2 linked regions of the Ovis aries genome follow. The protein of the gene in region 1 binds, or shares a complex with, the protein of each later gene. Links are inferred from orthologs where the notes say so. Each region holds a gene or a part of one and is shown on either strand. Other genes may lie near its edges.

Region 1 (3,629 bases):
AGCCACCAATGAAAAACCTCCGCAGTTCAGCCACTGGGCTGAGCTCCAGGGGCCTCCAGGTGGAGACCGTCAGGGTGTGAGAGCCTGGGCAGAAGAGGAAGCAGCCAAGGCTGGAAAGGGCCTGCGGTCCCTCACAGACTCCCCAGCAGTGACACCGGCCTTGCCACCACTAAAACACCTGGTCTGGGGACAGCCTGACCTCTGGTGAAGGTCACCACGGAGGTTTAGGGGACCTACGTGGGAATCAATCAGACAGAAGCTCAGATCTTAGCTCTGCCAGTTACTACCTGGGCGCTGGCGCAAGTTTCTCAGCCTCTCTGAGCCCTACTCTCCTCGTCTAATAAAACGGAAATAATACCAACACCTATGCCTCAAAGAGTGGTGGGAAGAATTAAACGAGAAGCACTCAGCACACTGCCTGGCACACAAGAGAAAATAGTGGCTATTATTTCTAAAGGAACGGTGGTCCACTCAGTACATGTCTGCTCAGAGCCCATCTTGACACAGGCTGCTCCCCCAAGGCTGCAGGTCAAATCAGAGGAGCGGGAATCAGAGTCCAAGGCTGCTCAGCTGTCTCTAGCAGAGACAGAAAATGCCCTCAAAAGGAGCACAGAATCTTGCAAGTTAAGTGCTTCTAGTTCCCAGTCATCCCTGCTTCTCCCAGGAAGTGGTCGAGTCCTCTGAAGCATCAGCCTTGCATCTAGGAGCGGGGGCAGGAGGGCTGCATGCAGGGCAGGGCCGAGAGGTCACCTGGGGTGGCGGGCAGCACCACAGCCCCGTAGCCTTCCACGCGGTACCGCTGCCAGAAGTCCAGCGAGAGGACCTCGCAGTAGAGCACGGGCCACTCTAGGAGCGCATCTGCGGAGGGGAGAAGCAGCAAGGTCCCGGGAGGCCCCCACAGGAGAGGGCGCGTCTGAGGAGCCCCAAGGCCGAGGACCGGCCGGCCCACTCACCGACAGATTCGTCCTCGTGGAGGAAGGAGGCCTCGAATGTGAAAGGGTAGGAGAAGCAGGCCACGTTATCCTAAAAAGGAGGGCTATTGTTTTGTACTCGGTGCCACAGAGTGGCAAGGCCTCACTTGGCACTCATTTTTCCTGTGGCCAGTGACAAGGTCACGGTCCCAAAGGAAAAGGAAAAACTATCACTCCACACAGGAAATAAGAGGCTAAGAGGGGAAGGGACACCCAGACGCAAGCTGCTGCCATTCACAAAAAGGCAGAGAACCGTGGGGCCAGGCGGCCCTGCAGGGCCCATAGCAAAGCGCCAGACCCAGCTCTGGAGTCCTCCCCGTGCTGTCAGCCCGATCATCTTTGGATGTCATGCCAGGAGCAGCCGTGTTCCCTCCAGGTGCCCCTCTTGTTGCCATACCATCCCCCGGGACTTGGTGGCACAGGTCTGTGTTATTCCTGAGAGCTGCTGGAACGCTGGGCTTGACCAGTCTAAAAGCCAAAGACGACACAGAGTAAGTCGACCTGGGAGGAAGGCGAGCAGCTGAGAGAAACACAAAGCTCCTTTCTGCATTCAGTCACTCAGGCGCGTGACCAATCACTCACGCCACGTTCACTGGGCCCATTGTGTGCTATGACTGGCCCCTGGGGACACTGCAGTGACCGGACAGAAAAGCTTCCTGTCTCTCAGGGGGCTAACCTTCCAGCTGGCGGTGGGAGGGGGCACAGAAAGCCAACCAACAACGGACCATCAGGGAGTGATAAAAGCTAAATATAGAACAGTGTGAAGAGATTGAGAGGCCTGGAGGCCCATTTAGGGATGCTGAGGGACCCTCGGAGGTGGCACTTAGGCTGAGACCTAAACTGAAGCAGAACCAGTCATGCAAAGATAGGATTCAAGAGGTTTCGGACAGAGGAAATGGTCCTGAAAAGGCCCTAAACTGGGAATGACCTTGGCCTGTTGAGGAACAGGAAGCATGACTGGAGTGGTATAAGGGAGAGACAGGCTGGGGCCAGCTCTTTCAGGGAATGGGGTCTGGACTTTGCTCAAAGTGGGAAGGGAAGCTGTGGGGGCTTTAAGTTGAAGAGAGACACAGCTGGTTTACATTTTGAAGGCTCAGTTAAGCTGTGGTGTGTGTGGCAAATGAAACATAAGAGGGGGCTTCCCTGGTGGCTCAGTGATAAAGAATCCACCTGCCAATGCAGGAGACACAGGTTCGGTCCCTGGTCCAGGAAGATTCCCACAAGCCGAGGAGAAACTAAGCCCGTGCACCAGAACTAGGGAGCCTGTGCTCCAGAGCCCGGGAGCCGCGGCTGCTGAAGCCTCAGTGCCCGAGGGCCCGTGCTCTGCAACAGGAGAAGCCACTGCCGTGAGAAGCCCGAGCACCTCAACTAGAGAGGAGACCCTGCAGCAGTGAAGACCCAGCACAGCTAAAAATACACAAATAAATACGAATTACTTAAGCAAAGAAAAGAAGCATAAGAGCAAGACAGGAAGCAAGAGGAGAAACTGCAAACCATGCTTTGGCCTAAGTAAGAGATGATGGTGGTTTGGTCCAGGGTCCTGAAGAAAACAGGTAATTCGGGACATCTTTGGGAGGCAGACCTGACAGGAATTGCTGATGGCATGAATGGTGGTAGGGAGCTAGAGGAAGTGGGCAATCAAGGATGTCTCTTATATTCCTGGTATTAGAAACCCAGGAGATGACGCTGTGGTTCTGCTAAGATGGAGAAGACCGTGATGGCAGGTCTGCAGCAAGAGGAGGAATCAAGGATGCTTTCGGTCATGTTAAGCAGAAAGAACAAACAGGTAAGTGGGCGTGAGTCTGGAATTCAGGGAGAGGCTAAGACTAGACTCGTCTGGGCGTCTGAGACACACACATAGTACTGAAGCCACAGGAAGGATGAGGCCACCTAGAAAGACTGTGGAGAGACGGTAACAGAAGGCCAGGCCCGGCCTTGGATGTTCTAATAGTTTTAGGTCAACAGCAGATAAGGAAATAGCCAAGGAGGCTGCTGAGCCACCACCAAGAGAGCAGAGAGGAGCACGGAGCCCGAAGGCAAGAGGAGAGGGGCAGCGAGGAAAGTGAGCTGTAGCAACTGGGAGACCAAGGAGGGCGAAGGCAGACACGTCCCCACAGGATTCCACATCTTGGAAGTGACCTGTGACCTTGAAAAGAACGGTTACAATTTCAGTGGAGGAGTGGGGAAGGAAACCTGACTGAATGCTTCTGGAAAACTGTCAGAAGGGGTAAAAAGAGAGACTTGTGAATACTACTTACTAGAAGTTGGCAATTCCACAAAGAAGTGGACGTAGAGGTTATCATACTCATAGCCTTGGGCTGAAACTAAGAAAACAAGAAACGGTTTCAGTTTATTGCCCTATCACCCCTAACGCCTGACCCAGTCCTGCAGGACCTACCCACTTGTGGAAGCAAGGCTCCCAACGGCCGGGAACTCTGTGTTTCCAGGAAAGACTCACACCTGAGTCTCCCGAGCACTGTGGACAACCCAAGGCCACTGCTGGGGTGGGGAGGACTATTTCACACTGCTCTCCCTGGCACTTGCCAAGCCTCAGGGGACCCCTGTCTGGTGAGACACTTACCCACCTCTCCATTCACAAACAGCCGGAGGGCACCTGGTACAGTCTGGGGTAGAGAGAAGTGGGGACCAGTCAGGAGG
Region 2 (4,079 bases), on another chromosome or scaffold:
ACTTGAGTCACTCTACTCAAATTACCTGGTTTGAGTGTGCCATGTTTTCTGTCCTATCCTGACAGTGGCTGACAGTCAAGTCAGCCTCAGTCCAATCAAAACTCTTCTTTCTGCTTCCCTGTGGGCCGTAACACATGCTAACTGCTCCAAACCATAATCAGGTTTCAAAGCCCAGTTCACCAGTCATCTCTTGAAAACTTCTCTCAGTTCCCACCTAGAGTACTTTGTCTTCCCAACTCCCATGCAAGTCAGGGGTCACGTGGTGATCATGTTTCATCTTCCCGGTCTTCTTTATGCTCCTCGAGAGGATCCTCTGCCTGCCTGCTCAGTCGCTCAGTGAAGTCTCTGCAATCCCAGGGTTGTCTAGCCCGCCAGGCTCCTCTGTCCATGAGATTTCCCAGGCAAGAATACTGGAGTGGGTTGCCAAAGGAGCCTCTAGTTCTGATTAATTCTGGTGTCTTCTAAGTACCTGTTTGATAAATCGGACGCACTAAATCCCCTATTACCCTCCCAGAAAAGACTGCTTGCTAGACAAAAGACCCCAAACGCCAAACCGCATTTGCAGAGCACTTTTGTGCATTATCAGACCGTTGTTTGGGATTCCCTCGTGGCTCAGATGATAAAGAGCCTGCCCTCAATGCCGGAGGTCTGAGTTCGATCCCTGGGTCCTGAAGATCCCCTGGAGAAGGAAATGGCAATCCACTCCAGTATTCTTGCCTGGAAAATCCCATGGACTGAGGAGCTTGGCAGCTATATGCAGTCGATAGGATCACAAAGAGTCGGACACGACTGAGCGACTACACTTTCACTGTTCTTTTTTCGTGTATTGTCAGACCGTTAGTGAAGAGAATCGTGGCGCTACAGCCTATTTGGCAATCCTGTGGTCACATTACCACTACTGGCTACTTCTGCAGATTCATTGTAAACTTTGGGTGGGGAAGCCCAACAGCTGCTCCCAGCCCTAGGGGCCTACGGACTCCAGCTCGGGGGGTGGCCCCTGTGCTGTCGAAGGTCTCCAGACAGAACCCCAGTGAAGGCCATTTGCGCGCACCGGCGGACGCACCAAGACGGCCTTCGCACCAGGCAACCATAGAGTGTGATGGGCGGGCAGAGAGGCCAGAGTCTCGGGCCGCTCTGTCCCCCGCTTCCGGCAACGCCTCGTTGCTCCAGAAGTAGAGGTAGCCGCGTATGCAGTTTCCATGGGGACTGGAGATGGCGCCGCGAGGTGAGATTACGGAGGTGTGTGAGTCGCTGGTCCTGATCGCTTCTATATTCCATTCCTTTCTCTCCCATTGCTCGACTTTTATAAACCCTCTATTCTCGGGTGTTATGGACATCACTTCTCGCTTGTCCAAAGCAGGGTCTAGCAGCTTCACCCTCCCTGAGTTCCTGAAGGTCTCGAGGTGCGGGTCTTAGATTCCCTCAAATTCTTGGCCAGGTCTGTTCTAGGCCAGCTCAGTTACAAATTTGCAGTGTGACTTCAAACAAGCCAGTGCTGGCCTCTGCACCCCATTTTCCCTTCCCAAATAGTGACGAGGTTAGATCTTAAAGGGGCTTTGACTTTCGCGCCCGAAGCCCGGAGTCAAGTTTAGGGGACACTCTACACACAGAGAGAAACCCTACACACACAGACACCCTACACACACACTCTCTCTCTTTTTCTCTCTCCTCATCAGCAATCAGAAGTGCCCCAAGTAGCCCTTTCCATTAGCTGCGACCTCACTTTTCCTTCGTTAGACACAAAACCATTGAAATAACTGAGGTTGAGCTGCCCTCCAGCCCATCTCTTTTTCTCTGTGCTCACATTTTCAGGTAAACGATTGTCCTCCACCCCGCTGGAAATTCTTTTCTTTCTGAATGGGTGGTATTATGCTACCTATTTCCTGCTGGAACTCTTCATATTTCTGTATAAAGGTAAGGCCTGGGGATTGACTACCCTTGCCCACATCCCTTCCCCACTTCAGGGCAGAGCCAACTCCCACCAAAAACCTTCCTATTTTTCATTCTTTTCTGCCCTCTAGGGAACCTCTTCACTGTAAGGTAGAAGTCTCTTCATCAGCTGACTTCTTGAGAATGATTTAGTAGGAAGCTCCTGGGCAAGAGTTTGTTGAGTTTGGGAAATGTGGGATTCTTCATTCCAACTCTCCCCCATCACCTCTTGCTGAACTCCACTTTCAGCCTGTTGATGAGCCTCGGAAGCTATTCAGCGGTCTGTGTACCCATGTACAGCTGATAATGGTGGAGGGTGGAGTCCTCATAGACTGTCCGAGTTATGAGTAAAACCCGATAACAACATGCCTGCCTCTAAAAGAGATGCAGCCACAACAAGGAGTTAACACATCCTGCATCAGGTTAACAGATGCTGCCCACACCTCACTAAGTAGCTCATGGACAGCTGATGAGACTCGCGCGTGTGGGGCTCTCCTGCGCACTGCTCTGTGTTGTTTTCAGGCTCTGACTTCTGTGTTGGCAGGTCTCCTGCTCCCGTACCCAACAGCCAATCTAGTCCTGGATGTGGCGATGCTCTTCCTGTATCTCGGAATTGAAATAATCCGACTATTTTTTGGTGAGTGTTTGTCCAAGAATATTTCCATTCTTTCTGAGATGAGCTGGTATCCGTAACCTGATCAACAAGGAAAAGTACATAACCTAGGCTCACCAATCAAGAGATTGGATCTGGTGGTATATCCCATTACTCCCTCTCTGAAGTTTCAAGCTGCTTCATATTTTGGGTCAAGATGTATCTGTCTGTTGCCCGGCAGGGCCAGAAGTGGGCAGTGGCATGATATTAGACAATTTCTTCCCAGTTGTCTAACTGTTACAAGAGTGCCTTGTTCCTCTCACTGGTTTGCTTGGGAGAATAGATTCAGCTGTAACTCCATGTCTGGGGCAGGAGATGCCTGCACAGGTCAGCACTAAGATCCCCTTCATTTTTCTGAACAAGGATTTCTCTAGGACAAGTTTTGTATTCCTGGAAGTACAGAGCAAGCCCTTTTTAGTTAGAATATGTCATCCCTGAAAATGTTCTTTAAACACACTGAAGAAAAAAAACATACTTTAAGTACATATCACAGTGGATAAAGAAAGCTCACATAAAATGCTAAGAAAAAAGCTAGTTTTAAAAATGAGCAAGGGAGGGAATTCCCTGGCTGTCCAGTGGTTAAGATTTCAAGCTTCCAACTCAGGGGGTAGGGGTTTGATCTGTGGTTGGGGAACTAAGATTCTGCATGCTGCACAGCGAAAAAAAAAAAAATTAGCAAGCGACCCTAATGGGCAGTTCACATAAGAATAATTACAAAGGACCAGTAACCATGATAAAATGCTCAAACTCACGAACAAAAAGCAAACTGGAAAAACACGGTAACATATTCACCCATCGGATTAAAAAGATTCCCAAATGCCCCGTATTCAAATAACCGCAAGAAACAGTATGTATGGTCTCACACTCATGTGAGTATTTATATTCCCACACCCCTGGGAATAGAAATTAGTATAACCTTTTTTGCTAATGGTTTTACCAGGTAAAATGTATATTCTTAGACATTAACAATTTCCCTTCTAAAACTGGCTGAAAAAAACACACTTCTACAGATACACAAGTATATCTGTATGAGGATGTATTGCCATGTATTTTTTGACATCAAAACCTTAGAAACAACCTAACACCTATCAATACAGGACTAGTTAAATTATGATATTGGTTCAATGAATTGTTCATAGCCATTAAAAAAGGTAGTTAGGTGTGGAAAGAGTTACGATAGAGTAAAAGGTAGTTAATGTGGAAAGACGTCTAACCATGTTAAATGGTTAAATAAGTTGCCAAACGGTATGCAGAGTATGATTCTACTTTTACAATAATGAAAATAATAACACGTGACTATACACATAAAAAATGTCTGAAACAGTATGCCTCATTCTGTAATAATGGCTTTCTCTAGAGGGTGAATCATGAGGTCTTTTAATTTCTGTATTTTCTAAAATGATTTTCTATATATTTTTCTTTTTTTTGGCCATTCCATGGGGCACCTGGGTTCTTAGTTCCCTAACCAGGGATTGGACCCATGCTCCCTGCAGTGGAA

What was found.
Region 2: MKS1 (region 1) and TMEM216 share a complex: the UniProt entries of both Homo sapiens proteins name them as parts of the tectonic-like complex. The link is inferred for Ovis aries from reciprocal best matches to the Homo sapiens genes MKS1 and TMEM216.

The regions. Positions count from the first base shown.
Region 1 is NC_056064.1:8,832,936-8,836,564, forward strand, and holds part of MKS1 (tectonic-like complex member MKS1), read right to left. Parts: intron 3,596-3,629; coding exon 3,553-3,595; intron 3,296-3,552; coding exon 3,230-3,295; intron 1,440-3,229; coding exon 1,369-1,439; intron 1,024-1,368; coding exon 954-1,023; intron 859-953; coding exon 751-858; intron 85-750; coding exon 1-84. UniProt on the Homo sapiens protein: Component of the tectonic-like complex, a complex localized at the transition zone of primary cilia and acting as a barrier that prevents diffusion of transmembrane proteins between the cilia and plasma membranes.
Region 2 is NC_056074.1:36,445,095-36,449,173, forward strand, and holds the start of TMEM216 (transmembrane protein 216), read left to right. Parts: upstream 1-1,160; 5' UTR 1,161-1,188; coding exon 1,189-1,225; exon of another isoform or gene 1,226-1,239; intron 1,240-1,812; coding exon 1,813-1,914; intron 1,915-2,021; exon of another isoform or gene 2,022-2,040; intron 2,041-2,047; exon of another isoform or gene 2,048-2,209; intron 2,210-2,215; exon of another isoform or gene 2,216-2,351; intron 2,352-2,473; coding exon 2,474-2,566; intron 2,567-4,079. UniProt on the Homo sapiens protein: Part of the tectonic-like complex which is required for tissue-specific ciliogenesis and may regulate ciliary membrane composition.